Linked DNA regions of Bombyx mori. The protein of the gene in region 1 binds, or shares a complex with, the protein of each later gene. Links are inferred from orthologs where the notes say so. Each region holds a gene or a part of one and is shown in the gene's direction. Other genes may lie near its edges.

Evidence for each region.
Region 2: transcription termination factor 2 (region 1) and nuclear inhibitor of protein phosphatase 1 share a complex: the UniProt entries of both Homo sapiens proteins name them as parts of the spliceosome. The link is inferred for Bombyx mori from reciprocal best matches to the Homo sapiens genes TTF2 and PPP1R8.
Region 3: transcription termination factor 2 (region 1) and A-kinase anchor protein 17A share a complex: the UniProt entries of both Homo sapiens proteins name them as parts of the spliceosome. The link is inferred for Bombyx mori from reciprocal best matches to the Homo sapiens genes TTF2 and AKAP17A.
Region 4: transcription termination factor 2 (region 1) and ATP-dependent RNA helicase WM6 share a complex: the UniProt entries of both Homo sapiens proteins name them as parts of the spliceosome. The link is inferred for Bombyx mori from reciprocal best matches to the Homo sapiens genes TTF2 and DDX39B.
Region 5: transcription termination factor 2 (region 1) and uncharacterized protein LOC778507 share a complex: the UniProt entries of both Homo sapiens proteins name them as parts of the spliceosome. The link is inferred for Bombyx mori from reciprocal best matches to the Homo sapiens genes TTF2 and C9orf78.

The regions. Positions count from the first base shown.
Region 1 is NC_085131.1:1,918,060-1,924,369, reverse strand, and holds part of transcription termination factor 2, read left to right. Parts: intron 1-714; coding exon 715-906; intron 907-1,529; coding exon 1,530-1,668; intron 1,669-3,112; coding exon 3,113-3,297; intron 3,298-3,792; coding exon 3,793-3,967; intron 3,968-4,133; coding exon 4,134-4,297; intron 4,298-5,788; coding exon 5,789-5,946; intron 5,947-6,310. UniProt on the Homo sapiens protein: DsDNA-dependent ATPase which acts as a transcription termination factor by coupling ATP hydrolysis with removal of RNA polymerase II from the DNA template. May contribute to mitotic transcription repression. May also be involved in pre-mRNA splicing.
Region 2 is NC_085126.1:4,080,595-4,087,434, forward strand, and holds the start of nuclear inhibitor of protein phosphatase 1, read left to right. Parts: upstream 1-2,094; 5' UTR 2,095-2,229; coding exon 2,230-2,258; intron 2,259-2,652; coding exon 2,653-2,867; intron 2,868-3,491; coding exon 3,492-3,600; intron 3,601-4,426; coding exon 4,427-4,529; intron 4,530-5,069; coding exon 5,070-5,153; intron 5,154-5,917; coding exon 5,918-6,128; intron 6,129-6,840. Other genes in the region: MRG/MORF4L-binding protein, read right to left, coding at 499-850. UniProt on the Homo sapiens protein: Inhibitor subunit of the major nuclear protein phosphatase-1 (PP-1). It has RNA-binding activity but does not cleave RNA and may target PP-1 to RNA-associated substrates. May also be involved in pre-mRNA splicing.
Region 3 is NC_085127.1:13,380,090-13,386,255, reverse strand, and holds part of A-kinase anchor protein 17A, read left to right. Parts: intron 1-2,214; coding exon 2,215-2,298; intron 2,299-3,323; coding exon 3,324-3,477; intron 3,478-5,387; coding exon 5,388-5,618; intron 5,619-6,166. UniProt on the Homo sapiens protein: Splice factor regulating alternative splice site selection for certain mRNA precursors. Mediates regulation of pre-mRNA splicing in a PKA-dependent manner.
Region 4 is NC_085122.1:1,016,070-1,022,366, forward strand, and holds ATP-dependent RNA helicase WM6, read left to right. Parts: upstream 1-3,225; 5' UTR 3,226-3,617; coding exon 3,618-4,895; 3' UTR 4,896-5,045; downstream 5,046-6,297. UniProt on the Homo sapiens protein: Involved in nuclear export of spliced and unspliced mRNA. Component of the TREX complex which is thought to couple mRNA transcription, processing and nuclear export, and specifically associates with spliced mRNA and not with unspliced pre-mRNA.
Region 5 is NC_085120.1:2,478,927-2,485,912, reverse strand, and holds uncharacterized protein LOC778507, read left to right. Parts: upstream 1-3,347; coding exon 3,348-3,543; intron 3,544-6,035; coding exon 6,036-6,520; downstream 6,521-6,986. Other genes in the region: malate synthase, read right to left, coding at 326-584, 1,046-1,299. UniProt on the Homo sapiens protein: Plays a role in pre-mRNA splicing by promoting usage of the upstream 3'-splice site at alternative NAGNAG splice sites; these are sites featuring alternative acceptor motifs separated by only a few nucleotides. May also modulate exon inclusion events.

The DNA.
Region 1 (6,310 bases):
GCCGCGATGGGCTTGCCGAAGTGGGTCCGAGCGGCGCCGATAAATCATGAAGCGCTCCACACGGTCTCGCGTCCCCTACTAGTTCAGTGTGTTTTTGACGTCCGTGCACGCTGTCGTGGCTCTCTGAGCGCCCCGAGATACTTTTATTTCTATTTAGTTTGTTATTAGCAGATGTCGCTGCACATAAATTCAACAATTCCTGAATCGCGGTGACAAGATGTTACACAGTTGATAGACATTCTCGTATTTCTCTTACTAAATTATACTTACCTGGCCTAGGGATACTGTGATCATGCAGGTGATTCCCCCAGGGTGAGGCTGCTCCATTGCACTGCAGAGTGGTTGACCCTTGCGATTATGTTTATTTTTTATAAGTTTCACTTCTACCGAGTGTGACTTGTGCACACACACTTTTTTTTTTGTTGGTTAGCTGGGTGGACGATCTCACAGCCCTCCTGGTGTTAAGTGGTTACTGGAGCCCATAGACATTTACAACGTAAATGCGCCACCTACCTTGAGATATAAGCTCTAAGTTCTCAGTATAGTTACAACGGCTGCCCCGCCCTTCAAACCGAAGCGTATTACTGCTTCACGGCAGAAGTAGGCAGAGCGGTGGTACCTACCCGCGCGAACTCAAAAGAGGTCCTACCACCGGTAACTCGTGTAACTCACTCTCACTGTTCGTGCTCATTACTGTCGAGTCTTTATCATCAGATGTGGAAGAAGTGGATCGACAACAAGAGCTTGGGAGGGCAGGAACGTTTAAGCACCATAATGCGTTGCTTACTTCTGCGGCGCACGAAGATGCAATTACAGCAGAAGGGACAGCTGGCGTGTCTCCCGCAGCGCCACACCCACGAGCAGCAAGTCACTCTCTCCAAGAACGAGATGAATGTTTACCAAAAGGCAAGATCAGTCTGAATGATGACTTTATTCATAGCTAGCGACCCGCCCTCGCTTCGCTTCGGAAACATTAAATTTTATTATTGATAGGCCAGTCCCATGCCATGTTGCGCGCGGTACGACAATAACTGCAGGTGACGCCGCGGGGCGAAGCTAGTCTAAAAAAAGTAGCCTAAGTTACTCCTTATATCATCAGCTACCTATTAGTGAAAGTCTCATAAAAATCGGTCCAGCCGATCCAGCCGTTCCAGAGATTAACCGGAACAAACAGACACACGGACAGACAAAAAATGTAAAAAATGTTACTTTGGTGTATGTACTGTATATATAATTATATGCATTTAGTAAAAAGCGGTTATTTCAAACAGACACTAATTTTATTTATATGTATAGATGATTGGTCCTGAGTCCCGACTCACTGAGTCCGAACTGAGGCTTGAAGCGGTTTAGCCTTTTATTCTTCCAATTTGTGAATTTGTGTATCATTTAAGTAACTCACAATTTACTACTGATCATGTAATAGTCCTAAATGCATAGTAGCTATAACCTTATAAGTGTTCAAAATGAAAATTAATTAATTTGCAAGACAAAGCACCCGAAAAAAAAAATTTATTAAATTTGTCCAGGTGCTGGTATTCTCGAAGACACTGTTCGCTCAGTTCCTCCACCAGCGCGCTGAGAAGAACTCTGAGCAGTTTGGTGCCCCTCTCCCCGACAAGGACTCGGAGTACGCGAAGATGCACAAGAGAATGATCGCCTTACAGGGTATGTTCATGTTTACAAAACAATGGTGATAATGTGGAATGTCTTCTTTATTCTCACCTTAAAAAATAGTTTTTAATAAATGAATTTTTTACGTGACAACGTCTTATAATTCGATGGAGCCGGCTGCACGCACGAAAAAACACGACTCATGCGGCGTTACCTCGCTCTGATGCGTTCCATTTAAGGCTTGAAGTGCAAGCCAGAGCGCGCAACGAGCGACAAAGAGGCACAATCGGCCTCCGCGTTCGGCAGCGTTCGACATCTGTCTCTCTCCTACTTGAGTGAGCGATGCATCCGCGTGGACAGCTGCTATACAATAATACATTTGCATGTTTTCGTCAAGTATGAAGTTCAGTGAAAAGTGAATGTGGTGTCAATTGTTTATAGCAACAATAATTGCGATAATTGAAAAATGAAACCATTCCATCAGTATTTTCTTATGACATTGTCACGTTCAACTATCGTCAGTAAACCGACTTTACAGACAACCGATTTTTTTAATAATTATTATTATATTACATTGTGTATTAATTGTATGTATATTTACGGATATGTCTATGTATGTATGTGTACATATATTAGTACACCGCGCGTAGTTCGTTTCCAAATGATTCTTGTCCACCTGATGGTTGTCTGGAAGAGATCGCTCTTAGTGATAAGACCGCCAATTGTACTTCTTTGTATTTAATGTATCGCACTGTTTATTTGTTTTTTTGGTGTACAATAAAGAATACTCTCTCTCTCTCTCTCTTTCTCAAAAATGGTCTTTATAATACTGATTGAAATATGGATTCTTTTTGTGTCTATCTCAACAAACAAACTGCATAAATCCAACGCTCCTTTGAGACGTTACATTGGAATAATATTCCTTCGATAGCTCGGCTATAAACACATATCTATATCAAAGTTAAAATTTTCCAACACATCCCAATCAACTTATCGTCACAGACTATTCTTAAAGAGAAGTATATTAAAACTCAATTTAAAAAAATGCTTAACAACAAATACGTACATATACCCTAGAACCCATTGAAACACCGCCCACTGATTTTCTCGCCGGATCTTCTCCACTGAGAATATCCGGCGAGAAACTATCTAGATTCTAACTAGATTCTGCGAAGCACGGCTCTTGCTAGGGTTCGTGTTAGCAACGTCGTCAGGTTTGAGCCCCGTGAGCTCACCTACTAGTTAAGGTTACGCTGAAATACCCTCTCAAGGCTATCAGCTTAGGTAGGAAAAAAAAACCCACTGAGTTTATCGCTACAGCTTCTCAGTGGGTCGCGATTCCGGTCTGGTGGTAGATTCTGTGAAGCACTGCTCTTGCTAGGGCCAGTGTTAGCAATGCAATGTTGAGCCCATGAGCTCACCTACCCCTCCACATGAAATTGTAATAGCCCCTTTGGCTACCAACGATGAGCTAGGGAAAAATGAACTCTATTTGAAGGTGCTAAACCGGTCAAGTCCCACGAGATCCTGGTCCTGTTGCTCCGTCTGCGGCAAGTGTGCTGCCACTGCGGACTCATAGCCGCCATGCTGGACGACGCCGCGCCCGACCTCGATGCGGACCCGGCCGGCAACGACTTGCTCGACGAACTCAACAAAATGTCGCTCGAGGACAGCCGGAAGGAGGTATCTTTTTTTTTATTTATTGCTTAGATGTGTGGACGAGCTCACAGCCCACCTGGTGTTAAGTGTAACTGGAGCCCATAGATATCTACAACGTAAATGAGCCACCCACCTGAGATGACGAGATAAGTTCTAAAGAACTCAAGAATAGTTATAACGGCTGCCCCACCCTTCAAACCGAAACGCATTACTGCTTCACGGCAGAAATAGGCAGGGCGGTGGTACCTACCCGCGCGGACTCACGAGAGGTCCTACCACCAGTAGTTACTGCTCACTCACACATTACTCGAGTCATTAGCTATTAGAATGATTTGGACAGGCCATAATAATAATTAATCCAGCTAATCATCAGCCCAGTATAAGCCGTGCCAATAAAGAAACGAATCGAAAATGGCGGCAGCGATCATGCGCTCTCACTCTAAACTATTGCTGTCTTTAGTCGCTGATAATACTTGATTTTCATTACATACCTCTCAACTAAATATAAACATCTCGCAGAGTTCGAAAGACGATGAAGATGAATCCGAAGGTGTCCAAGAGGAAGGCACCACGGCAGCCGAAGCCATAAGGTCTGTCCTGAGTCCGAACAATCCCGTGTTCGAACTAACCAGGCCTTCATCAAAGATCAACGCTGTCATGGAGTGTCTCAAAGAGAATGTATTTTCTAAGCCAGGTCAGTTGCCCCTGGGTTGTGTAGAGTTCTTTGCAAATAACTTTATAGCAAAAAGTTTACCAATTCGCAATAAAAAAAATCAATAACAATTAGCACCATAATCCCTATATCCTGTGAAACACTTATCTTAAAACAATTTTAAATTTTCTAACGTCAACTTCAACAGGTGAAAAGGCAGTGATCGTGTCACAATGGACAAGTGTTCTTCACTTGGTCGAGAAGCAGCTGTCAGCCATGGCGGTCCGCAGCGTGACGCTGAGCGGGAGCGTGCCGGTGACGGCCCGGCCCGCGCTCGTGCACGCCATCAACGACCACAACAGTGCCGTCAAGGTACGCAGACCAGCTCATACAGTAGGGGGGCAGCCCCCGCCATGGGGTCCGCAGCGTGACGCTGAGCGGGAGCGTGCCGGTGACGGCCCGGCCCGCGCTCGTGCACGCCATCAACGACCACAACAGTGCCGTCAAGGTACGCAGACCAGCTCATACAGTAGGGGGGCAGCCCCCGCCATGGGGTCCGCAGCGTGACGCTGAGCGGGAGCGTGCCGGTGACGGCCCGGCCCGCGCTCGTGCACGCCATCAACGACCACAACAGTGCCGTCAAGGTACGCAGACCAGCTCATACAGTAGGGGGGCAGCCCCCGCCATGGGGTCCGCAGCGTGACGCTGAGCGGGAGCGTGCCGGTGACGGCCCGGCCCGCGCTCGTGCACGCCATCAACGACCACAACAGTGCCGTCAAGGTACGCAGACCAGCTCATACAGTAGGGGGGCAGCCCCCGCCATGGGGTCCGCAGCGTGACGCTGAGCGGGAGCGTGCCGGTGACGGCCCGGCCCGCGCTCGTGCACGCCATCAACGACCACAACAGTGCCGTCAAGGTACGCAGACCAGCTCATACAGTAGGGGGGCAGCCCCCGCCATGGGGTCCGCAGCGTGACGCTGAGCGGGAGCGTGCCGGTGACGGCCCGGCCCGCGCTCGTGCACGCCATCAACGACCACAACAGTGCCGTCAAGGTACGCAGACCAGCTCATACAGTAGGGGGGCAGCCCCCGCCATGGGGTCCGCAGCGTGACGCTGAGCGGGAGCGTGCCGGTGACGGCCCGGCCCGCGCTCGTGCACGCCATCAACGACCACAACAGTGCCGTCAAGGTACGCAGACCAGCTCATACAGTAGGGGGGCAGCCCCCGCCATGGGGTCCGCAGCGTGACGCTGAGCGGGAGCGTTTACCTTTTTTCTTATATTTTGAAACTAATGGTACCGTAAAATAGGGAGAATCGGGACACTTTTTAAGTTCCACATTGATTTTTAACGTTTTTTTTAGTTATAGTAATAAAATGGAGATTAGAGTGGTTCCGAAGGCTAAATTTTTATATACGATGTGTTTTTATTCCTAGTTCATTACAAAATATACACAAAAACTGAAAAAACTGGCTTGACCCGATTCACCTTGATTTTGGGGTGAATCAGGCTATGTATGGGGACAATAGAGTTTTTCGATAGGGCTGGCACTATTTAGTTGTTAGGTAGGTACCTAACTTTAGCTAATTATTTTTTTAATATCTTTAATGACTTAAAAAAACTTTGATGACTAAATTAAACTATTTAATATTTTTAAACACTAATTAAAAGTCATTTTCAGTTCAACAAAGTTTAATCTCTAACAACTCAACAAAAGTATTGTGACATCCCAAATTTGTCCCTATTCTAAGTCTCTATTCCTCCCAATCTACTGTACTATCATTTTACTCCTCTGTCGATATAGACCAAAAATATCCCTCTTTCTTTCTTTCTTCGATGATGACACGGTAACGTTGTTCGCTCAGGTGATGCTGCTGTCGCTGTGCGCGGGGGGCGTGGGTTTGAACCTGTGCGGCGCCAACCACCTGTTCCTGCTGGACCCGCACTGGAACCCGCAGCTCGAGCAGCAGGCGCAGGACCGCGTCTACCGCGTCGGCCAAGATAAGACCGTGCACATTTACAGGTAACTAACTAGCTGCCCCATATATTAGTCACACTTTTTATTTGGTATAGAATAGTAATAAATAAATAATAATAAAGGATTGTGTGGTTTTATGAAACCACGGTAAAAGAGAAACTTTTTTTCACATTACTAGCTGATCCCGCAGACTTCGTAGTGCCTCAATCGATAAATAAAAGACCTAAGCTTTTGTATAAAATAAACTTAAAACAAACAAAAGGAATCCGTCCGACGGGGACACATCAAAGGAAAAACAAAATAGTTATTTTTATTTAATTTCGAGCATTTTCATATTTATCTACTTTTTAAACCTTCTCTGGACTTCCACAAATAATTCAAGACCAAAATTAGCCAAATCGCTCCAGCC
Region 2 (6,840 bases), on another chromosome or scaffold:
CCTTTTACAACAATTACCTTGATCCAATTTAAATCTTTCTCATTATATCTGAATTGAGAAGGCGATTCATTCATCAAATAGTATTTAAAGAGTTTGCTTTAATTTGTGAAATGAAATAAAATGAAAGGTTTACAGTTGCCTTAATTAAGTCTCTCATTTTTGACATTTTTGTACAGCATATTTGAGTCGTCTATTATCAAAGGTGGCAATCTGTGCATTTGGACAATTTTTTTTATTGATATTTCAATTCAGATTGATTTGAATATAATCGTCTCCTTCAAAGAATACGGTTCAAAACCTGCATTAAATAAAGGTTAATAGTTAACCTGTTATTTATCTAAGATGTCGTTCCGAAGAGTTTTGTGACTGCCAATGGAATACAAAGTCAATAATTCGTTTTTCTGATTTACCAATTATTGTCCAAAAGTCAGATTGCCGGCTTTGATAATAGTCGACTCATTTAATTTAGTATGAATGAAAGAACAAAAAACGATTTACCTTCAGTTTCTTCACTAACCAGAACCTCCTTCGATTTCTGTTTCATTAAGGCGCCAAATTCATTTTCGGGCAAACAGAACGTAATTTCGTGATTGGGAAACGGTATAGGTTCGGCTTCGTCTAACATCGTAAAATCATATAAACTGCCTAAGTGTTTCCATATATCTTGGGTTGATATCTCTTTGGTAACTGAATTCGATAATTTCTCCCATATACAGGCCATTTGGAAGTGTTTATTTATACCAACTGGTTTATGGTTGGCCATAGCGTAAAATAATTGTATCTCCATATCTACGTCCCATTTTAAAGCGTCGTCCTGCTTTGTTTCCGGTTCTTCTTCACTAGAGACCATTTTTAATTAATTGATTTGGTTATGAAAGTATGTTATTCATTTTATTTTCAAGTAACATAATTTTTATTTGTTTTGTTCGGTGAACTCTTTTTCATAGAATTTTTTTTTTTGGTACATTTTTTCGTTGTTAGGAAAGGCAAGGGGTTCTAAGCCCATACAGCCTTGTCTGCTCTATATATTCTCTGAAATAATTTTTCAAAAAAGCCGAAGTCAGGTCTTATATGATATATATTAATATATCCTGAAATAAAAATGTCATTAAGGCCAAAGCTAAGTCCTTTATAATTTCTTCCTGAAATAAAAATTTCATTAAGGCCGAAGTTTTCATAGATAATACACTTACTATAGACTTTAGATGTCTATTCGTCTATTGAATAGGCAACGGGACTATATCCCATACAATATATCATTTGGACCAAAGTTGATTAAATAAAAATTATAACTGGGAACAGATCACGCACGGTTGTTTGGTCCCAATTTAGAATTTCCTGTGTTATGGGTACCAGAAACTGATAAACATACTTAAATATGTTTAAATCTATACATAGCTAGATAATGAACAAACCTGTTCATTACACAATATTTTTGCGCGATGTGGGAAGCGAACCCACGACCCTTAGCACAACTGAGTCAATCAGAATTATTTCGATTAAATACTAATAGAAAACATTTCTGGCAGTAACTGGATGCGTAGAACCGAAGATCGGGTTCAGTGGCGAGCTTTGGGGGAGGCCTATGTCCAGCAGTGGACTGCCGCAGGCTGATGATGAAGAAAACATTTTTGAATTTCCGTAGAAAAGTAAAAGTGATATAACGTGATAATTTCTTAAATATTCTAATTCTATTCTATTCTAATAGTATTCTACATTTAATTTTGCTGACTTCCAAAAAAACAGTGATTTACAGGAAATATGGCTGCCTCAAAAAAAGGCGTCTCTAGCTCAGGTAGCACCCGTGTGCAATCATTACCATAGCGCACTCTAGTAAGCGTGCGCTCATGATAGCCACCTCATTATATTTCTCGTTATATGACCACCATTTTATCGAGATTATGTTTCATCCCATATCATCTCATCCCATTCATTCCATTTCGTTTTCATTTCATTTCATGCCATGTTTCATATTAATCAACTTCATGTCATTTCATGATATCATTTTCATATATAAAAAAAAATATAAAAGATTAGGATGTATGGTATGATACCTTTGCCTTTTCAGTTGGAAAAATAAAACTACTATTACTTACAGACATCTGTCAAAGGTCCACAAATCAAGCCAAAAGTGTTTTACTGGTGCATTCATTACCTTATTTTTTCACACAACCATTAATCTAGTAAATAATTGAAAACTGGTTAATAATGTTATAAATTTTAATTATAATGGCAAATCACTATGAAGTGCCCAATTGGTATGTATAAAAGCAACATAACCATAAAATAATGACGCCGGGTTACTTATTTTAATGAATTCCTGATGTGCATTCAAATAAAAATGTATTCATTAGTTTTGTCTTTGTAGAAAATAACCTATATAATTGATAACAATAATATGGCAGTTTAGCAGTGTATCAGTTACAAATGAATAGAACATTTTATCTTATAATTAATGTAGCACTACTGCATGTACTATCAATATATAGATACAGTTTTTAATTTTACTTTAAAAGTCATCTGCTACTCAAAGATTAGGAAGGTACTGAAATATGATACTAGAAAAGTGGATATTATCTAAATGATATTTTGAGTGGAATACAAAAATTAATATTGATAAAAACCAATAATTAATATTGATTATCTTTTTAGGGCTGGTAAGCCGCCAACCGGACTCCACTTAGACGTTCTAAAAGGAGATAAATTAATTCAGAAACTAATGATAGACGAGAAAAAATGTTATTTATTTGGACGGAATCCTCAAATGAATGACTTCTGCATTGATCATGCTAGCTGCTCTAGGGTGCACGCTGCTCTGGTCTACCACAAACATTTGAATAGATCATTTTTAGTCGACCTCGGTAGTAGTGAGTATGGTCGTAATAATTTTATGAATAAGAATTTGTATCACAAATATGGGTATCTATGCAAAAAAAAATGTTTCTTGAACTAATTGAATGAAGGCCCATAATTTTATGTCATGTTTGCTCACTTGGGCTGAAATTAGGTGTTAAATTGTAGGATATTAAGTTAAAAGTGAATTAAATTTACTCTGACAATATAAATGTTTTGGTGAGAAGCTTCAAGTTTTATAACCTTTGATTTCTCATTCACTAAGATTAATAAATAAAAAGAAAAAAAATGAATCAGAAAAGATGTAATCAATCATTTGACATTACTTCTTAAACTACTATGAGTTAAGTACCATGAGTGGTAGGAGGGCTTATTACAATCCCATACATGTCGGTGTCATATTTTTTTACAAGAATGCAGTCACGGCTTCTAGTTTTATGAGATTGAGTGTTCTTTTGTAGTAAAAATTTAAACATTTGCTCCATGCATAAAGGATACGTGCTATTAGTATTTTTATGTCTATGTACTAGGCTAATCACTTAAAACTAGATGGCCCTGAGTTTGTTCACCTGTCTACGTGTTTCACAACACTCCCTTATAATTTGTTGTAGAACTATAAATCATAACAAACTTTTTAGCTCATGGCACTTATATTGGAAAAATGCGCTTAGAATCAAACAAACCAACACAATTACCGATCGATTCTAATTTTCATTTTGGAGCTTCAACCAGGAATTATATTATAAGGCAAGTACAAAAAAAATATTACTTTTTAGAAACATAAATTAAAATTAACTAACTATTTATAAGCTTAAGCAGACATGTTGAGTAACATTTCAGTCATGTGTATATTTTGTAAACCTACATTTAATTTGACCTTTCTATACATAGGAGAATAATAATATGTATATTATATGTATGAGAACCCTCATCAATACTCTACAGTTAATCTTAATAGAGCTGTATAACTTGACCCACCCCTGAAAACTGAAATGCATGAAACTTTTGTAACAGGAACAGGCAGAAAGTGGTGTATTGTGTGGGCTCAAAATATGAGGAAATTAGAATTAGATGAGCAAACGAATAAGCCATTTTGAAACCGAACAGCTTATAGTCCATAAGCCGTTCCAATATGTCTGCAATGGATATATCGTCTGTATGCATTAAAAGTGTACAATTTACAAAAATATTCAAAATTGAGTTAATATGCGAAATCATTTGGTATCACCAGTATTTTTCTCATAAATACTGTTAAAACAGCGTAGTTTAGTTTTGGTTTCCTTTTTTTGTTGGTTTACTTAAATTGTCATTACTAAATATTAACAAAATTAATATGTACACAATTTTATCATACTTTAAAAGACAGATAACGTAACTGGTACAAAATAAAAAATAATGTTGCAAAGATGATTAATATTAAAAATATAACCTGTTAAACCTTTAAAACACTCTCCTATAAAATTAGTAAGTTTTGAGATAATACAGTTTTAATGCGAGAAGACGATATGATTTATTCTGTTCATGGATTCTGAATTATGAAGTGTCTTTTAATTAATGTATCAATGGTTCACAGAGAACGCCCGACTGGGACATCGCGTGGTATAATGGAGGATCTCCCTAATACAGAAACTGAAGGAGCATTGCTCGGCCTGCCTGAAACACAAACCGAACTAGATGTAAGATTTTGTTCTTAGTATAATTTATGTAGAAAAGGGATCGCAGCGCATAAAATAAAAGTTATACTATTCCAAAATCTTCTATTATAATAGTAATTAATAATTAACACTAATTTTATTATGTCTTACTCATTTTTCAAACGTCTTCGCCATCTTCAAATTCTCTGTCATTCTATCTGTCATTCTCTTCTCCCTTTCTTTCCGTTTTCTCTCACTCACATCTTAACGCTCCGTTCCACACTCTTTTCATACGTTCCGTTCTTACCAATCCTACATTTATGTGTATTATTGAGTTAGATTTCGATTTGACTTCAATACTCCTTTCTCGATTTCATGCTTTGGAGCCCTTGTCGGTATGGCAATAAGCTTAGAATACTGCTACTAAGGAAATGTTATAGATATAGTATTTGGCGTTCATGAAGACCTATGCTCTTCCTCTAACCAATATGTGGTCTGTGGTCTAAAATTATAAACATAAAATATTTTATTGAACTTAGGTAGCTGTGTATTGTTAATGTATTTTTGTACAATGACTTACAGAACTTAACTGAATTCAACACAGCCCACAACAGAAGAATATCGATGCTTGGTATATCAACCGAAGATGGAACTGATGTTATCAAGGTGAATAGTATATTCTTGTAAAAAAGTGTATTTAACATTTTAATGTATATATTGCTGTAAATATGAAGATCGACTAGTGAGTCTTTCCATACATGGTTCCCAAAGTATTTTGTGGTTACCAAAATGATTGAGATGAAGTCCCAATTGTGTTCTGTAACAGTTGTTGCCACTTGAACGCATGATAGCTGTGCAGTGAAAATATAGTGGTGTCACCATCCACTATGTTCCTCTTAGTCCATGATACCCCCTTAGTATGATTAAAACAGTTCAGTAATTCAGACAAACATTTCTGTTATATATACCTAACCTATTATATAAGTAACTAGCAGTACCCGTCCACTTCGCTGGGAATTTAAAATTAATATTATTATTTCTCACCCCCACAAAGATTCTCATCATTAACGCCCCCGCAACTGGTGTAGGGAGTCCAACACTCATATAAATATTAGCCTATCCATTAAGTACATGTATTTTCTACGTGGATACCAAGTTTCAAGTTAATCGGATGCATGGTTCAGTAGTTATAACGGAACATCCGTAAAAACCACTGTAGATTTATATATTAGTATAGATACGACCTCTTAAATTTATCGAGAACATTCTGGGCAAGTCGAGTAGCTTCGATGTGTTTCCGGTATCTGACAATGATGGCGTTGTACTTCTCGATCTTTCTCGGCGTTACTAGTTCCTTTGATATACGTTTCGGCTATCCGGACGATAGATGGCGTTACTCTTACCGGCGTAACATTACTATCGTTTTTCAGCCGACAACCGGTACGAAGCGTACCGTTTCGATGCCGGTCGGTGTGCCGAAGAAGCAGAAAAGAAACGTGTCTTTCAACGAAGAAGTGGACATTATCAATCCCGAAGACATAGATCCGTCCATAGGCCGTTTCAGGAACTTGGTCAAGTCGACGATCGTGCCGAATGCGAACGCCGTACCTAAGAAGCTGAAGCTGCAGAGCGCCGAGGAAAGTAAGTCGTTCAAGTTATGGACTAGCTTGTCCTATACTATAATATTATAAAGAGGAAAAATTTGTTTGTTTGTTTGTCTTGAATAGGCTCCGAAACTACTGAACCGATTTGAAAAAATCTTTCACCGTTTGAAAGCTACACTATTCCCAAGTGACATAGGCTATAATCTTTTTTGAAAAAAATTTAGGTATCCTCACTAAAACCCCAATAATGTAATCCAAGGTGTAAAAAAAATACCTAAAATATTCTTTATATCGCGTGCTCTGCGAAAACTATTGATGATAGAATAAAAAAAATGTACTACGACTTTGTAGAACATATTATTATTTATAAAAAGTGTCGCGACAGCATATTATGTCTAACTATTATAATTATGCCGCAATAAGTGTTCTTTTATCTTAACAAAATGAAGCTTCAAATATCGTTGAAATTTTTGTTAAAGACCCGAGCGGAGCCGGAGCGGCCCGCCAGTCCTATATATACGTTAACACACTGACTGGCTGGTTGTCACCGGATAGTTGTCATACGATTCAATTGAGACCTCATGTCTTAAGGTGACAATATTCAGATTACGTCTATGAACTCTGGTCTCCCTTTAACATTTTGATTGCGATGTAGGTCACCGGTGCCCTACGCGGCGTACTGAAGTAATTATGTCGATTTCTATTAGTAAGCGCATCTGGATTGCCTAACTTTGCCTTCTTTTGTTTTT
Region 3 (6,166 bases), on another chromosome or scaffold:
TTTAATATTGTTATGTTTTTGTTTTTACCTTTGTAGGCAGCCGAGCATACGGCCCACCTGATGGTAAGTGGTTACCATCGCTCATGGACTTCAGCAATGCCAGGGGCAGAGTCAAGCCGCTCCTTACCTATAGTACCTATTCGTATTGGAAGTCCGTACCGCTAGGTAAAAATATGATAGTATCCCTTTTGAATCTCGTGAGAGCCATTATAAAGGCTGAAAAGTTAAAAAGTATTAATTTCTGCCGTTCTCGTTAACTTGCTGCGGCGTTATGTGGTGTAAGTGTTTGATTAGTGATTTTTTCTTTCATTTTTATCACTAACCCACAAAATGACAAAACTAAATATACTATCGATAACGCTTATCGACAACAATAATGCGCATCACTATGCCCGTCTATAAGGCTCGTGAGTGGAAAAGAGAGCGAAATACTCGCTTCACCGTTCCGATTTTTTATGAGTAATTCTACTATAGTGTTGTAATTAGTCAATATTGCGCTATCGATACTAACACATCTGAAGCCTCCGTGCGAGTGTAAATTATAAAATAGTTCTATGAGGGTAATATGAACTTCAAATAAAAATAAAAACAATTGATCACATATGCATTTAATTTAATGAACTGATACTTGAGTCGTCTATTATCAAAGGCGGCAATCTGACTTTTGGACAATGATTGGTAAATCAGAAAAACGAATTATTGACTTTGTATTCCATTGGCAGTCACAAAACTCTTCGGAACGACATCTTAGATAAATAACAGGTTAACTATTAACCTTTATTTAATGCAGGTTTTGAACCGTATTCTTTGAAGGAGACGATGATATTCAAATAAATCTGTATTGACATATCAATAAAAAAATTTTGTCCAAATGTACAGATTGCCGCCTTTGATAATAGACGACTCACTTATTGAACAAAATGAACGTAAAATCTTATTAATTACTCTCGCAATCAGATTAATCAGTAGTTGAAGAATTTGATGTACTATTATCACTCCTCACGTACTTCAATAATAAATGATTCGACAACATCCTCCATTAAGCCACCCTTTTTCCAGTAATGTTCCTCTAATGCTAGGACATGTTTATTATGCTAGTGCTCGCCATTCCTTTTTCATCAAATTAAATAGCTATTCGTGCAAACAAAAATACTTATAAGTATAAGTAGTGTTTACAGTAGGAAACACACGTGAATAACACTGCTATCGCAAAATTAAAAGTTACGAGTCGGTAAGCGTACTCTCACGTTAAGGTCGACACTAGTACTGGGAGAGTGCGGGGTATGAAGCGACGGTCGGGCGCGGTGCACGCCCGCCCGCTCCCTCAGCCCCTGAATCCTCGGAGCTCGCGCACGGACTGTATGTCCAGATAGGCCGTGTCGGCCGAGATGAAGATGACGTTTATCTAAAGCAATAATATTGTTCATACTTAAGGTGCTTTCAGACTACGCTATACTATAGTGCCATATAGTATAGCAGTCTATACCTAGTCAATAATATATAGTATAGTACAGTGTGAGCGTGTCCATAACAATGTATTCAAATTCAAAATAATTTTAATACAGATTTTCTATATTAAGTTAGTGGAATTGGCCCCCTTAATTATCAAATTGCCGCCTTGTGGGACTTGGGCCCCATGTTGGGAAAAACTGGACTAGAGCTATTAATTTTGTGTAGTGGACAGTAACTAAAAACCAAATATATTTATGTATGTGTAACACAACGAATCTTACGGTCATCTACTTCAATAAAATTGTATAAAATTTTAAGACGTTGTATTTAAACCGAAATGAAAGAGTGCTCTGAGGAATTGTTTGAGATGATCCCCTCATCTCCTTTCTATCATCGCACCTCCCGCCATCGGAGCAAAGTTCATCCATATTATCTGGAACCGCTGCGTTCATCGACAGTGCGTTTCCAGAGGTCTTTTTTGCCACGTACCATCCGGCTATGGAATGAACTCCCCTCCACGGTGTTTCCCGAGCGCTATGACATGTCCTTCTCCAAACGAGGCTTGTGGAGAGTATTAAGCGGTAGACAGCAGCTTGGCTCTGCCCCTGGCATTGCTGACGTCCATGGGCGACGGTAAAAAATCACCATCATGTGGGCTGTATGCTCGTCTGCCTACAAGGGCAATAAAAAAAAACTTGTCAGAGAAGCTTGAAGTCCGGTTTGTTTTAATTGCTAAATAATAATTTTTGAATATGATTTCAGTTCCTGCGATGTACGGGATGGCGAACCCTTACAGCTTCGGGTACCCGGCGTTCATGCCGCCAGGATATGCCTATGGACCGCAAAGTATGAGTATCACAACATTATTTCACACTAATCTTTGTAAACAAACAACTGCACTCAGTCAATTAGTTAAGAGATGTGTGTTCTGTTGGTGCAAGAGACTGATTTACTTTTTAATTAAATTTTTTATTGCTTAGATGGGTGGACGACGGCCCATACTATGTTAAGTGGTTACCGGAGCCCATAGACATCTACAACGTAAATGCCGCCACCCACATCGAGACATGAGTTGTAAGGTCTCACATTTTAATAGTACAACGGCTGCCTCACCCTTCAAACCGAAACGCATTACTGCTTCACGGCATAATTAGGCTGGGTGGTAGTACCTACCCGTGCGGACTCACAAGAAAAACAATAATACATTGACTATTGAAACAAAATGTTATACTGGAATGGACTGAAACTGCTCCGTAGACCAACTGAATGTTACTGTTTGGAACTTGAATCTTATATCCCTGAAGGTAACGATAACCTGGCCTCTGGCAAAGTTCAGGAGTATGGAAAAATTCCAAGGAGTCCAGTGAAGACTGTCGTGAGTCAGATTAAGGTATCCTTCAACCTTATGTGACAATTACTTGCTATACCTCGATACTTTTCTATTGTGTTATCTAACTTCTTTTTATAACAACTATTATTATGATTAAAAATAATCTGGGAACTGCACCACATAATTTATATAATAATACTCATGGTAAAATATTTTAAGAAAGATATTTAAAAAAAAAACTTCCCAAAGAAAGCGGACTTAGTTAATGAATTATTGAACAAATGTATTTTCCAGTCTTTATTTCATGCTTTTGTAGGTCTCCTGTGGTGACTAACTCAACAAAACCGCGAGTCCGGATGTATTGTGACCTTGGGATGTGAGGTGATCAGTAATTCTGATCACATACATAAAATAAGCTAATTATTATTTTTTGTAAACATAGCATTATTAGGAATCACAGTGCCTATTAACAAACAGACCGAATTTAATATATTTTTTGGAATTGATTCGCTTGTTATTAATGTGTGATAAATGTGCGTAGGTTCAATGTACTACCCCCGCGCGGCGTACCCTGCGGAGTGGGCGCGGCGCGCGGGCGGGGCGCGGGGGCGCGGGCGCGGCGTGCGGGGGCGCGGGGGGGCGCGGCCGCGGATGCCGTACTTCGACGGACCGGACGCCACCGCGCAGTACTACAGGTCTGTATCGAGCCGCCCGGGGGTTAATGCCATTTTTTTCATTCGTACCTAGCTGAGCTAAACTTCCTTTTGACTTTTCTCATGGTGGTTTTCTTGGGAAAAATAGTAACGGTATCTTCCCATTCCTTTCCGTCCCAAAACTTTTTAGAAGGGATTTAGCCCCCCTAGGCCAAATCATTGGAGAAAGTTATTGGAGTTGGTGTAAAAACTGGACCAAGGTGGTCACGACCCTCAGTAATAAGGAAGCCACAAAGAAGAAGAAGAAGCAGATAGCCTTGAGAGGCTATTTCAGCGTAACCTTAACTAGTAGGTGAGCTCGCGGGGCTCAAACCTGACGACGTTGCTAACACGAACCCTAGCAGGAGCCGTGCAGAATCTACTACCGGATCGGAAACGCGACTCACTGAGAAGATCCGGCGAGAAACTCAGTGGGCTGTCTATGGGTTAATTTACTCGTCGAGTTTTTTTTTAATTTTTTTTATTGCTTAGATGGGTGGACGAGCTCACAGCCCACCTGGTGTTAAGTGGTTACTGGAGCCCATAGACATCTACAGATCCATAGCCGCAAGCGACGTGTTCGACGAGGACGGTGACCGGTGCTTGAGGTACCTAAAAGCATCGTTAGTGGATCGGGAGGATCCGAAATGACGTGTTTTGGGCGACGTCAACTGTTAACCATTTGGTCCGCAGGATCAGCTATGTAGTTTCCGGAGAGGATTCTCGTGTCGTGCCGCTTTATCGAAGTGGCGCATTGATGCCGACTGTAGATACTTACTGATGGACTCTAGGTCCAGATTGCAAATGATCATCTCACTTTTCGTATCGAAATTCAGAGTGGATGCAGTGTGGGAAAATTGTAATAACTGAGGAAAGATGGATATGTGTATCTCTCTGTTCCACGCTTTAATGGAACTTCACATTGGACTACGTCATGTCTTTAGGAGCTGGTCGAGGGGGTTCCTCCACTGAATACTCGCACAATATTGTGCCTTATTTTGTAGCCACTACAGCACATATTCGTCAAAACAAATATTTTGTGTGTCAATTTGTTCGTGACGTAATGTTAGATTGTGTTGTAACACTGTCCAGTTACCGTTGACACTTCAGGGATGTTGTTTGCTATAGAATCACGTCGTACAACAGGTGGCGCGCGGGGGCTCTGAAAACTTAGTGACAGCTCGCCGAACGTGACCAGGTTCCACTAATCTATATATATAAAAAATAATTGCTGTTCGTTAGTCTCGCTAAAACTCGAAAACGGCTGGACCGATTTTATTTATCGATTGAGGAATTACGAAGTCTACCGGGTCAGCTAGTGAAGTATAATATGTCGGAGACGGTCATTAGTTTGGTAGCTGCAAACACAGCATGATTCCCGAGAGATGGCAGCACGATCGCGGTATCGTCGGAACTCGGCTAAAGGCTTCGTCAAACTGAACGCGTAATTAGCGTGCGTTAGCCTTAACGCCGCGACAGAGCGTTGCGTACTTATAACGCTGGCGCTCTGTTTGACAGTACGTTACCATAGAAGTACAATACATCTCGGCGTCATAGCGCGTCATCAGTTTAGCGCTCTGACGCGCTCTAATTACGCGTTCTGTTTGACGAAGCCTTAACTTCATGCTACGACAGAGCCTAGCCGATGGAGGCGCGTAGACGCCATCACACTTACCAACCAGCCTTCTTGAAGAGCGGTGCCTCCGTCCTAAGACAACAAACGTGATTGGTGCACTCAATATTTCTCTTAGCTCGATCACCCTATTCGCCCCTACGATGTCTGACGATGGTGTTAATAATTGTGGCTTCTGCGACATATAAATAATAATCACTCATGTTTATGTAAGCTGATGTGTCGGTTGAGCGTCCGCATTAAACCAGTGCTATATGATGAGCGCATTGCTCTGTTTCAGATACTTCAAGAAGCTGAAGGAATCCAACGAACACGACGACCGGCTGCATTCTCGCTCCCGCTCTCGGTCCCGCTCCCGCTCCCGCCGCCGCTCGTACACCCGCTCCCGCTCCCGCCGCCGCTCATACTCCAGGTCGAGGTCTCGTTCAAGGAGATCCAGATCTAGGAGTCGTTCCAGGAGTCGTTCAAAGAGCAGAAGCAGACGGTCTTATTCCAAGAGTAGGAGATCTAGGTTAGCTATTACTATATATTAATATATAGTAATATAATATAATAGTAATATTTACAATATATATCGACGCTTCAAAGGCAAACGAGACTAAGCGACAATAACTGCTTTGTACACAAATGATGGGCATTAACCATATTCGATGCGCAAAAAAAAATATTTCTAGGTCTATTAAATCATTTCAATCCTACAGCTAGATTCGTTAAAATAGAATTTATGTTCAGGTATTTCAACTTTAAATTAGTCCACCGTAAAGTTCACGCATTGTCGTTTAGTCACTTTTGCCTTTCAAGCGTCGATATATATATTCGTCATGTTCGCGAGTCAGTGCCCTAGAGCCCCGGGACTGCATATATCGACGAGCGAAAAGCTATTTGACTTAAGTGACATTTTTGCTACTTTACAGGAGAACCATGTAAAATTTGAAAAAATAGCATGACAAAAATCTCCATCATCTATTGAATGGGAAATGGACTTCGTAGTGCCTCAATCGATAAATAAAAGACCTAAACTTTTGTATAAAATAAACTTAAAACAAACAAAAGGAATCC
Region 4 (6,297 bases), on another chromosome or scaffold:
CTCTCTCGCGCGGTTTAGCTTATGAGTGTGAAGGGGACAGTTAAGGTTTTGCCTTTATTAAAGTTTAATATAGCGTGGTCTTGTTTTATTATTGTTTTAATATTAAATTATCATTGTCTAATTATAATGTCATAAGTTGATAAAAAATGCTATGCAATAGCTTTACCGCCGCAGTTCCCGAGTGCCACACGTTTTTTTTTTGTCAGGAGGAAATCGCCGGACTTCCGCCCTTCACTGGGGATGGAGGGCGAGGCATGTCGAACCGACTAAAACCTCCTGTCGCTCAACAACCAGCATCCAAACCTCGCATGAGACAGAACTCATGAAAAGGCAAAGGGGGGAAAGTGAAGTGTTTAGTGCGGAGCACATCTCTCCCATCACCCTCCCCCTCGGGACGCCGGACTGGCGGTCGTCGGCGCCACGACCACCAGCCCTCTCGGTCGGCAGGCTGTCCGAAACCCGCCTAGATGGCGCCGGTAAGAATGGTCTATCCTACAGAATACCCCGCTGCGTCAGAACCAGCGTTGGTTGAGGATAGCCGGCCTTCCATCACCCGGATGCTCATGCGTAAAACGTGTGCAGAGCAGCTTGCACGTCGTCTTCTTAGGCCCCCTTCACCGGTCCCCAGGTCGACATGTCAGGGAGACCCGAAACACTTAGAGGGCCAGGGCTTGGGCGAGATCCGCCTCCCTGGACCCCGCTTGACGGCGGCGGGCCTGTGCATCTCTCACGCGCCTCGCCGCCTCCTTTTGCGAGATGGTGCACTCGCAGAAGTCGAGCATCGCCTTCCACGACTCGTCGTCACCGAGAATCGATGCCAGAACACTCGGCAACGACAAGTCGTTTCCTATTTTTGCGACGAGGACACGCCGCCACCCCCTCCCATGCGGGGCAGGCGACGAGTGTATGCTCTGCCGTGTCCAAGCCGCAACCACAATGGTGGCACTCTGCCGTCGGCTCGGCTCCGATCCGGTGCAGGATCTCACCGAAGCAACCATGCCCAGTGAGTACCTGCGTGAGCCGGAAAGTGAGGCGTCCTCTGTCACGATTCACCCAATTCACAAGAACCGGGCGAATCGCCTCGACGGTCCTACGACCAGCCGAAGGATCGGCCAGCCGCCTGGACCATGACTCCAGCACTGACCGCCGAGATTGGGCCCTCCACACTCTGATCACACTGAGGCTGGGACGCGCCACGCCCCGGGCACGAAGGTTAGCCCACCACTGATAGTCAGCGGCGGGCGCCTCCGCCTCCAGGACCTAAGGCGGCGTCCCAGCCAGTACACACGCCGCCTCGAAAGAGATGGTGCGATAACCACGGATGATCCTGACTGCGATGGTGCGTTGCGGCCGTTGCAGCAACTTCGCTACCCCCACGGCCAGTGACTGGCCCCACACGGGCGCCTCGTATAAGGCGCGTCACCTGGTCATGCCCCCCGATGTTGTAAAGAAGCCGGCTTAACGTGCCAGCCACCCCCAACAAACGAGGGACCAGATTCTGAAAGTGAACACGGAAGGTCCAACGACTGTCCAGAATGAGGCCGAGGTACTTCAACTGCACCCCGACCCGATACGGATGCCTCCAACCACGATATGGGCATCGATAGGTGGCACTCTCCGCGGCCTGTGGAACCACATGGCCTCGGATTTACTGAGTGTCACGTCGAGGCCCGATTTCCTGATTTTACCGACGACATGCGCCACCCGAGCGGTGGCAAGACGAGCAAACTCAGCAAAACTCCTGTGTCCCATTATTTTATTCTATCATCAATAGTTTTCGTAGGGCACGCGACGTAAAGAATATTTTAGGTAATTTTTTTTACACCTTGGGTTAAATTATTGGAGTTTTAGTAAGGATACCCAATTTTTTTTTAAAAAAGGTTATAGTCTACGTCACTCGGGAATAGTGAAGCTTCCAAACAGTGAAAGAATTTTTCCAATCGGCTTAGTAGTTTCGGAGCCTATTTAATACAAACTAACAAAACTTTCCTCTTTATAATATTAGTACAGATATTAATTATTACAAATAATAAAAACGCTGACTTAGGTGGCGGTTTTTATTTGAACCAGTTCTAAATTATAAACTAAAATTCTATGAAAAATTACCCATATTTATCTATAATACGAAATGATATTAATTTGTTTTTCGTAGTTTCCTTCCTTCTTGCGTCGATAATCCTCAGTGCTGAGGGTCGCGGCCTCCTCTAATAACTTTCTCCTGCATCATCTTGCGCCATTCCTGCCTGTCCTCGGCTGTATGGATAGCAACGTGGACTGAAGTTTTGAGAGTGGAGCGTATTTGGTCCGACCAGCGCATTGGATTTCTGCCTCTGTGCCCTCTCCCGCATACCTTGCCTGTTACCAGCAACTTTTCCAGATTCTCACCTCTCTTTCTGGCGATATGTCCAAAGATCTCTAAACTCCTCCGCGCGCATGTAGTGCGGAGGCGCATTGGAATCTTGAGCTCGGTAAGAATGGATTCGTTGGTTCTGTGTTCTGTCCAACGAATCCCGAGCATTTTCCTCCAGCACCACATCTCAAACGCGTCGATGCGTTGGCGGTCGGCTTTCTTGAGGGTCCAAGTCTCTGCGCCGTAGAAAAAAATGCCACCCAAGCACAGTCCATTTGGAACATAGCCCTCTTTGCCATACTGATTCGCCTTCTGAGGTCCTTTTCGGAGGTTCCATTACTAGCTATGACGGAGCCCAGATAAATGAAATCCTCTACGTCTTCCAGGTTTAGCTTATTCGTAGTTTAATAAGTTATTATTGTTAGTAGTATTATTTACTAGTCGAAATATAAATTTTTAATTATCTTATGATGAGAATCTTATATTAATGAGAAAGATATTCAACAAAAATAGTTTCGTTCTAATAAATTAGCATAGTAATAGTACAGTGAACTAGCAATTTATTTTGGTAATTCTGAATTTAAACAAACATATTGATGAGAAGAATTCATTTTTACTTTGCAAATTTGTAAATACACGCTCTGTAGCAATGTACGGACATATAATAATATGAAGAAACAATAATAGCATCTACAAATATATATGTACTACGTGGTACTACATTTAATAAAATTAATACAACATTTATTAATTAAATTAATGAAATTGTGGTTTTAAAGTTTTAGGGGTGTATAAAAAATGGGGGGCGCTGAAAAATAATTGATATTCAAAGGGGGCGGTAAAAGAAATAAGTTTGATAATCACTGCTCTAAGTATTTCATTTTTAAATACTCATAAAATGGGTCATTTCAAAAAATAATATGACATGAAAAAAATCATATAAAAGACATATTATTCACGTGCTCACGTGAAAATAAAAACTATGATTGCATTATAGCTGTTCGCCTGTGTTCTTCTTTTTACTTTACACAAATAAAATTTCAAATTAATCAAAAATCAAATTGCAAATTTAATTCTCGTAAACTGTTGAGTGGCGAAAAAGCCAAGTGGCACGTCATATTTAACTGTCAAACATAACAAAAAAAGTTTGGATTGACGCCAAAAAAGCCGAAGCCGCCATTATTGTGAAATCGTATTGTAAAAATAAATTTCACGTGCTCACAGTGAGTACGATACAGTAAACAAGCTAATTAAACTAAAGTAAATCATGGCTGACAACGACGATCTTCTCGACTACGAAGATGAAGAACAAGCAGATCAACAGACTGCTGACGGGTCTACCGAAGTGGCGCCAAAGAAGGAGGTTAAAGGATCCTACGTATCCATCCACAGTTCTGGTTTTAGAGACTTCTTACTTAAGCCAGAGATACTCCGCGCTATTGTTGATTGCGGTTTTGAGCATCCTTCCGAAGTTCAACACGAATGCATTCCGCAAGCCGTCCTCGGTATGGACATACTTTGCCAAGCCAAGTCCGGTATGGGTAAGACAGCCGTGTTTGTTTTGGCAACATTGCAGCAGCTGGAACCCTCCGAGAGCCACGTTTACGTGCTTGTAATGTGCCACACCAGAGAGTTGGCTTTCCAAATAAGTAAGGAGTACGAGCGTTTCTCGAAATATATGTCAGGAGTCAGAGTATCAGTATTCTTTGGTGGTATGCCAATTCAGAAAGACGAGGAAGTCCTTAAGACAGCATGTCCTCACATTGTAGTGGGAACTCCCGGTAGAATTTTGGCATTAGTAAACAGTAAGAAACTTAATTTGAAACATTTAAAACACTTCATCCTTGATGAGTGTGATAAGATGCTGGAATCTCTAGACATGAGGCGAGATGTGCAGGAGATATTCCGGAACACTCCTCACGGGAAACAGGTGATGATGTTCTCAGCCACATTGAGTAAAGAAATCAGACCTGTGTGTAAGAAATTTATGCAAGACCCAATGGAAGTTTATGTAGATGATGAAGCCAAACTCAAGCTACATGGACTGCAGCAACATTATGTGAAACTAAAAGAAAATGAGAAGAATAAAAAACTCTTCGAACTACTTGATGTATTGGAGTTCAATCAGGTGGTTATTTTTGTGAAATCAGTACAGCGCTGCATAGCTCTGGCACAACTGCTCACCGACCAAAACTTCCCTGCCATTGGTATCCACAGAAATATGACCCAGGATGAGCGTCTCTCCCGCTATCAACAGTTCAAGGACTTCCAAAAAAGGATCCTGGTTGCAACAAATTTGTTTGGCCGGGGAATGGACATTGAAAGGGTAAATATTGTCTTCAACTATGACATGCCTGAAGATTCAGATACATATCTACATCGTGTCGCCCGCGCAGGAAGGTTTGGTACCAAAGGTCTGGCCATTACTATGATATCTGATGAAAATGATGCCAAGATCTTAAACCAAGTACAAGATCGTTTCGATGTGAACATTACAGAGCTGCCTGAAGAAATTGAGCTCTCTACCTACATCGAAGGACGATAGATTAAGTTTCATTCCCATACCTATTTACTGCTGTGGCTCATTTTGTTGGTAATTAGACTGGCCTGCTTTAACATTGATTTGTAATACATTGAGCCACATTTACTGTTTAACTAGGTTTATCTAATTAAAGTGACATTTCATATTGTGATATCTGAGTGTTTTATTTCTTTACCAACAATTTGGGAGCTTTCATCGTTATCAGTAAGACAGGCTGTGATATGTTTAACTTTAGAATGTAGACAGGAAATTGATATATTTATTTTGACCATGTTCATATTAATGTAACAAAATATCCATTTTGAACATATCATTTTGTCTTTATGACTTCATATTTTTATATTCTTAGACATGCAAAATTTACTGATATTGGATGTTAATACTTCACACAAATACTACTGGATGCATTTGGATAAAATTTCATGCCTAAAAACTTCAGAATAAAACAAGCCATAATTTAATTTAGAGTACCTACGTACAGTGTGAGAGGTGGGGTGCAAGTAGTTTCAAGAAATTACTGTTTTTAGAGCCTTGCTATAGGATAATTATACAGGAACGCGACCAGTTTTAACTGAAAAGTACAGAAGGCCCATGTCCAGTAACTGGTATCCACTACAAAATCAAAATCTATAATTGTCTGCCTACACTATATTGATTTAATTAAACTAAATTAGAAACACGTCCAAAGATTTTTTTATTATATAAACTGGCATTTTAATCTATGTTCACAAAAGACGAAAAAGCGATAATGCTAAAAACATACTTTATTTTAGCACCATTTGCATACAAAATAAATATTTAAATTAAGCTTATAGTCCTGCATTTAATTTTTTTTACTGGTGGTAGGACCTCTTGTGAGTCCGCGCGGGTAGATACCACCACCCTGCTTATTTCTGCCGTGAAGCAGTAATGCGTTTCGGTTTGAAGAGTGGAGCAGCCGTTGTAACTATACTTGAGACCTTAGAACTATATCTCAAGGTGGGTGGCGCATTTACGTTGTAGATGTCTATGGGCTTCAGTAACCACTTAACACCAGGTGGGCTGTGAGCTCGTCCACCCATCTAAGCAATATTTTTTTTTATTAAAATATTAATAAACACCAATTATCAATTTCATCTTTATTGCTCTTTATTCCTTAATGAATAACTGGAATTTTTCAATAGTATAAATAGGTACTAGTCAATGTAGCACAACTGCTATGCAATGATTTCCACCACAGCCTAAAGATTACTGTATGACTACTAGTATTAACTCTTATATATTGAGGCGAAACCTCAATGGTAATACCCTAACACTATCGTTCAAACTGGGATGCATGGACTACTTTGAGGCAGAAATCACCACCAGTAATATATTAACAATAGTTTCTAACCATGAGAATTCTTTCTGAGAGAAGCTAAAAGGG
Region 5 (6,986 bases), on another chromosome or scaffold:
GTTTCCAAACATCAATTTTTGGACCAACGCATCGGCTTTTCGCATAAGTTCTTTCCTTATTCTTTTACCCTTATACTTATACGTTAAATAAAAATAAATAAATTTGTTTTATGTAGAGGTCAAAAGGCTGTTCTGAATCGTGCTATTTTTTGTAAATTTCGTGATAATACCAAAGTGAAAGCAGAAAAGTTGCCTTGGGTACATGAAAAATGTTAAAATGTCGTAGAGTAACATCTGTGAGGTTTGCTAATTTATAATACTTTTTTTTCCCGTATGACCTCTTGCCTCTTGCCAAAAGAAAAAAACTAAAGGAATAACTACTCACAAGTATGTTGTGTTCAATCATGTTCCACGCGCGGGGTCTAAACATCAATACGGGGCAGGTAGTTATCGTCAACGGTGCACCTTGTAGTTTACCGTTCACAGCCAAATTTATGTTGTTGAAAGCGAGAAGTTGGTTCCTCCATGTTGGACAGTGACCGTCATCAAAATCTACTTGGATCCCTTGAACATCCTCATTGAGAGCTACTACGAAATGAGCCGTATTTGAAGCTGACACATCACCAAGATCTAAATGTCTGTTTCTAAAATTTTATTAATTTTTTTTTTAATTCGTTTTTATTAATTTAAACGAAGCAATACAAGTTCGACAACATGCACTTAAGGGATTTTTATCAGAAAAGGGATCAATGTAGATGGGTAAAACGGTAAATTTAATATTCTCTTAACTTTTTTGAATTTTAACAATAAGGTTTTGCATTGGTATTTAAAATTTTGCTACAGTCATTGTTATGCAACAATAGACACTTCTACCCTGTTTAAAGGTGAAGCCACAATAACCCGTCTAGTTTATTGGCAAAACGTAAGGGAAAAATTGGCAATCTATTATGACTAAGAAAACATAACTTGATAAAATTTTATATCTGTTGATAAATTTGGCTTCTATGAGTTTTATAGCATTAAGGTATTATTGATTATTTAGTAAATTATTTATTATTGAAAAATTTGGGTAAATTTATTATTTAAAATACTACTTTTAACTTACTGCAATCTAATAGGCAAAGGCGCTATTTTCCAGCTTTTGTCTCTTCGTTCGGGAGAATTTTTGAAATCAATAAAAGGATCATTTTTTATTTCCACAGCTCGTCGTTTTCTATTCTCATACAACAATTCTATTTTTTTGTCAAAATTACGATGTAGGGCTGCAATAAATTCGAGGACTTCACTAGAAAAAATCGTCTTCTGTAATTCTTCGAGTTTTGGAAGCGGTACTTGAAGTAAAATAACATCGTGCACCATAATGTAGTTATTCTTTTCTTATTTAATAGGTAATCTGCACAGCAAGAAACGCGACACAGCTGCACTTGATTGAAAGTTGTATTGAAATATTCAAATCGGAATTTCGTTCGTGTTCGAAGAAAATAATATCTGTATGATTTTCGTGTTATTGTTTCTTATCACTATATAGTTGATTGATAAAAGAATGATAAGATATAATGTTTGCCTATGTTGGGTGTTTTCAGTTGCCAGCTTAAAAATAAATCAAATTTACTAGGGAAAAATCAAAGTTTTAATGGTAAACATAAAATGATATTTTGTAAAGTTTGAATACAACTATGACTATAAATAGACCTGAAAACCAACCATAATCATCATTGGAACAAACAACTGATTCGAAGTAGAAATCGCTGCTCGCGTAGTAGAAATCGCGAAAGGCTGTTCGGGTATGTAGGATCGGACGATCCGCAGACGATGGTGGTGGCACGGCGGCCCAAGAATGGCATTTGAGACCCTACCCACTAAACAACTCCCCCGCACTTGCTCAGGCGTCCGTAGCCCCCGAGGTCAAAACCCGGGCGGGGTAAGGAAGTACCGTATTAAAAACCCCAAGGACACCCGGAGGCTTACGTACTTGCGGCCTCGTAACTTGCGACAACAGCAACCGTCTCCATTCGGTGAAGATTACGGGTTGGCCGGCAACCCGCCGAGTACAAAGAGCAGCACGGCTGATCACGGCCCGATACTCTAACGAGCAATCTCGAAGCCACGCTGGCAAACCGGTACCTCCCTTTGGAGGGCGTTACTATGTAGTTGAAGTCGGGAACATAACAACTAGCGACAGGAAGATGCAAAAGTAGCACCGGCTCACTACTAACACAAGTAACACAGAGTACCACTGCACACGGTACGCCGGCAAACCATCGGTGCCATCGGGAGGCTCACTCTCTAAGTGGAGCACTCTTCATCAAATGAAGAGCATTGAGAGCACGGCCCTCCTACTCGACTTCGTGCTGGTTTTGGTCCGCATCGGTGCGATCATATCTCTGGGAATGATGACCAAAAGCTGCCATTATCCGCCTCTCACGGAGGCGCACGGTTGGAGACCAGCAACTCCCTTGGGTTTCATTACATCCTACGTATATTACTGTTGATTGGTCTTTAAAGTAGTTTATGGCGTACCTTGTATTGAGTGATATCAAAGCTAATAGAGATCAGAGTGAGAAAGCTATGAGATATACCTTGAGACATGAGGTAGAAATCTAAATTATGTTGTATAATGGTCATCTTACTCTTCAAACTGGAACGCATGACAGCTTGGCAGTGGATGAAATAACTACCTAATGTGAGCCCTCATAGGCACTATCTCAGTATTTAGGTCGCCAAGTAGTTCTACGTTCTGGTTTGTTAAATGAACGAATTGTTATATTCTACAATTAGCGGTAGGTGACCTCTCGTTGTAGATGTGTACTAGCTCTGGTAATCACTTTATTGAAGTTGGGCCTTGAGCTCGTTCAGACGTCTATGCAATAAATAAATGTAATTTTTCCTTTCATATAATGAATGTATCTAAGTAAATTTTTGTAATTTTACTGAGACTACAGTATATTTTAAAGCATCTTATTTAATTTAATTTCATCATAATTACAGTATAAAATAAATAAATTTCATCTCATTCTTCTCCAAATCATTATTCTCAAAGAGTAAAATTTATTTTAAGTATATTTTATCTAGAGATTTTTATTAACTCAACACTGGCAACAATGACATTGCAAGCAGTCATTCTTTAAAAAAGGGAAATAAGTTATCTATGGTAAAAAGATCAAACATAAATAATGAATATGGCAGATTCAGATTCTCAAGAAAATCGACAAGTCGAAGAAATTAAATTGAAATCTAAGAAGCCTAGAAATCTTCGTACGCGTATCAAAGATGAAGACTCTGATGATGAGGAGCACATTTTGCAAAGACTTCAAGAAACAAAAGAAATTCAGAAACTTCGAGAAAGACCTAATGGGGTGAGCATCATAGCCCTGGCAACCGGCGAGAAAGTAACGTTGGAAGATGAAATGACTTGTAAAGATCCTTTTAAAGTTAAAACTGGCGGGATGATTAACATGCAAGCCCTTAAGAACGGGAAACTGAAGCAGGTGGATGATGCGTATGATACCGGAATAGGCACACAATTTTCAGCGGAAACGAACAAACGCGACGAAGATGAGGAGATGATGAAGTACATCGAAGAACAACTTGCAAAAAGAAAAGGTTAGTTCTACTTGAAAATATTTAACGAGCTTCCAAACATAAAAATTTACATTTTGCTTAAACAGTGGACCCCCGGTAATCCTGCCGCTGTCTAATCTGGCACCCCTTGTAATCCGAAATGTCTATTATTATTGAATATTTTTTGACAGTCTTCGCTAATGTACTTAGATAATGCATGATTGAACAGGTTACAACTGGTATGCGCCATCACTATTGTACTAGACGCTTAGGTATTGTTTTGGTTTTGATAGGTTAGTTTGAATTCGACTACTGATAACAAATAGGCATGCGCCCATTTCAGGCTCCATCTTGACCATGAAAGCTTAAGTTTTTTAAAGTACTTAAATAAAATAAAAGATGCTTATGGCCAGCAAGGGGTGGCTAGAAAGTTTCAAAAGTCGTCATGGCATTCGTAAAGTATTTTTTGTAAGTTTTAAAGTATTACTGACGTTAATTTTATAATAAAACGTAAGGTTTCTCTTGTATTTTTTAATTTACTAAATTCAATATACATAATGAAGTATGATTTGCATTTCAGAATATAACATACAGAATCTTATTACTGGATCTGTAATTTATTGGATTATAAAGTACTCTTTTGTAAAAAAATCTGGACTAAAGGGGGTCTTAGGCAGTACTTGTATAATTCGACAAATGTAATAGGTAGTTTGACACTGCCTTACAAAACGTTTGTCGGATTACAGGGGGTCCACTGTAATTTAATGGTTTTTTATTTCAAGACTGAAATTTAAAATCAATCAATAAAATAGTATTTGCATTTTCCATATCACATCCTTGAGGTTCTGTCACATCATAATCAATTACTAATTTTATAGATCCATTACAAGATCATTAAATAAACAGTATCTACATGTTTTCCTAGAACTCATGTAAATTTGTTTTTTTTTTGTAGGTAGTGGTTGTGACCAGTGTCTAGATGGGATTATATGTATATTTTGATATTACTAATATTACTAACACCTAAGCATATATTACATTAAGCTGCATAAGCACTTATTTGCTAAACTATTCTCATGGTATTATGATAACAACACTCCCAAAAGTACCAATAACAACTATACCAAGTTTCATTGCATCTTGAATGGTTTATATAGGAAGAAGAAAAAAAAAAGAAGAAAAAAACAGACTTAATAAACTTGTTAATATTGCTGCTTAAATGAAAATCTAGTATCAATTATGTAAAATACCACTCACTAAGATTCTATATTTGGTCCGAATCTGTAAAAAATATTGTATTGTAAATACTGTAGTAAGTATATTATACACTCAATTGAATTGCACATACCCTACAGAGACACCCACATCCCAACTTAAACAACGTTTAGACATACATGCCTCTTAGAAATATCATGTATGCTTAAATGAAAATTATTGTTTTTACAGGTTGTATGATATTAAGATAGTATAAGTTAGTTGTTTTGTATCTTTGGGTGCAATATTTGGAGCAGGTTTTATGCATAAGTGTGAAGAGGGCTAACCTCTGTGATACTGTTTTTATTGACTGCAGATATTAATAATTTCTTTTGAAGTCGTCGTGGCCTAAAGGATAAGACGTCCGGTGCATTCGTGTGTAGCGATGCACCGGTGTTCGAATCCCGCAGGCGGGTACCAATTTTTCTAATGAAATACGTACTCAAGAAATGTTCACGATTGACTTCCACGGTGAAGGAATAACATCGTGTAATAAAAATCAAACCCGCAAAATTATAATTTGCGTAATCACTGGTGGTAGGACCTCTTGGGAGTCCGCACGGGTAGGTACCACCACCCCGCCTATTTCCGCCGTGAAGCAGTAATGCGTTTCGGTTCGAAGGGTGGGGTAGCCGTTGTAACTATACTGAGACCTTAGAACTTATATCTCATGGTGGGTGGCGCATTTACGTTGTAGATGTCTATGGGCTCCAGTAACCACTTAACACCAGGTGGGCTGTGAGCTCGTCCACCCATAAAAGCAATAAAAAAAAAAAAAAAAAAGCTTATTGATACTTTATATTTATATCACATCAAAATAATTAGTTGGAAGCATACCCATGAAAAAAAATGTGTGTTACATGCACATAACTTGGGTTACTCAGTAAATAAATGCACAAAGATATGTTGATTGGAAACTTGAAATGGTAAATAGATTGTATAGTTTGTTATTGGTGGTAGGACCTCTTGTGAGTCCGCGCAGGTAGGTACCACCACTCTGCCTATTTCTGCCGTGAAGCAGTAATGCGTTTCGGTTTGAAGGGTGAGGCAGCTGTTGTAACTATACTTGAGACCTTAGAACTTATATCTCAAGTTGGGTGGCGCATTTATGTTGTGGATGTCTATGGGCTCCAGTAACCACTTAACACCAGGTGGGCTGTGAGCATGTCCACCCATCGAAGCAATAAAAAATAAAAATTTAGGTCCCTACATAGCTGATAGTATTATTTATAATCGTTTAGATACTAATATAAAATTAACTTGTGCTTTGTAAATTCCAGAGGGATGTGACAAAGACAATAAAGACCACAACCATACAGAAACACTAAAGTATTTGTCTCCCGAGGAAGCAGCCTTACTTTCCTTGCCAGACCATTTGAGAGTCTCTTCAAATCAGAGGTCAGAAGAAATGCTTTCTAATCAGATGCTCAGTGGTATACCAGAAGTAGATTTAGGCATTGACGCGAAAATAAAAAACATTGAGGCAACTGAAGAGGCCAAGATGAAATTAATATGGGAAAGACAAAACAAAAAAGATGGCCCATCTCAATTTGTTCCAACAAATATGGCCGTTAACTTCGTTCAGCATAACAGATTTAACATGGAGAATGATAAAAAACGAAAAATTGAAAAAGTTGTAGTGCCCAAAACAGAAATTAGCGTGATTGATGAGAACGTTGATAAAATAGTTAAGAAAGCTAAAGGGGAAAGAGCAACTGATGATTATCATTATGAGAAGTTTAAAAAACAGTTTAGAAGGTGTTAAAATGGTTGAGGGGAATTAACTATAAGGAAACGAAAATTGTATTAAAAATATGTGATTAATGTAAAAACTTGCAGCGGAGTGAGGGTTTGACTTCATATTACCTGATTCTCTTTTGTGATGTACAGAGCATTAGCCTCTATTCATCAGACATGAGATTCATACCATTCTTGTAACTATAAAATCAAATCTGTGGTCAAATTGTGTATGTTATCTTTATATGGAAACAATTATGATTGTTTTTCAGTATAATTGCTAAAAAAACCCTTTCATATTCTATGTTTCAACTTCTGATATAGTTAATTCTTGACAAATTCATGAGTCAGCAAAAATTCAAATCCAATTAATCTCAAATTTCCATGACAAAACCAAATCAATAATTAACTTCATATTCATTAAATTTGTTCTTTCACTCACAGGAGGGTAGGGAGTATTTTTACATTTTTAATACAAAACTTTCAACTTGGAT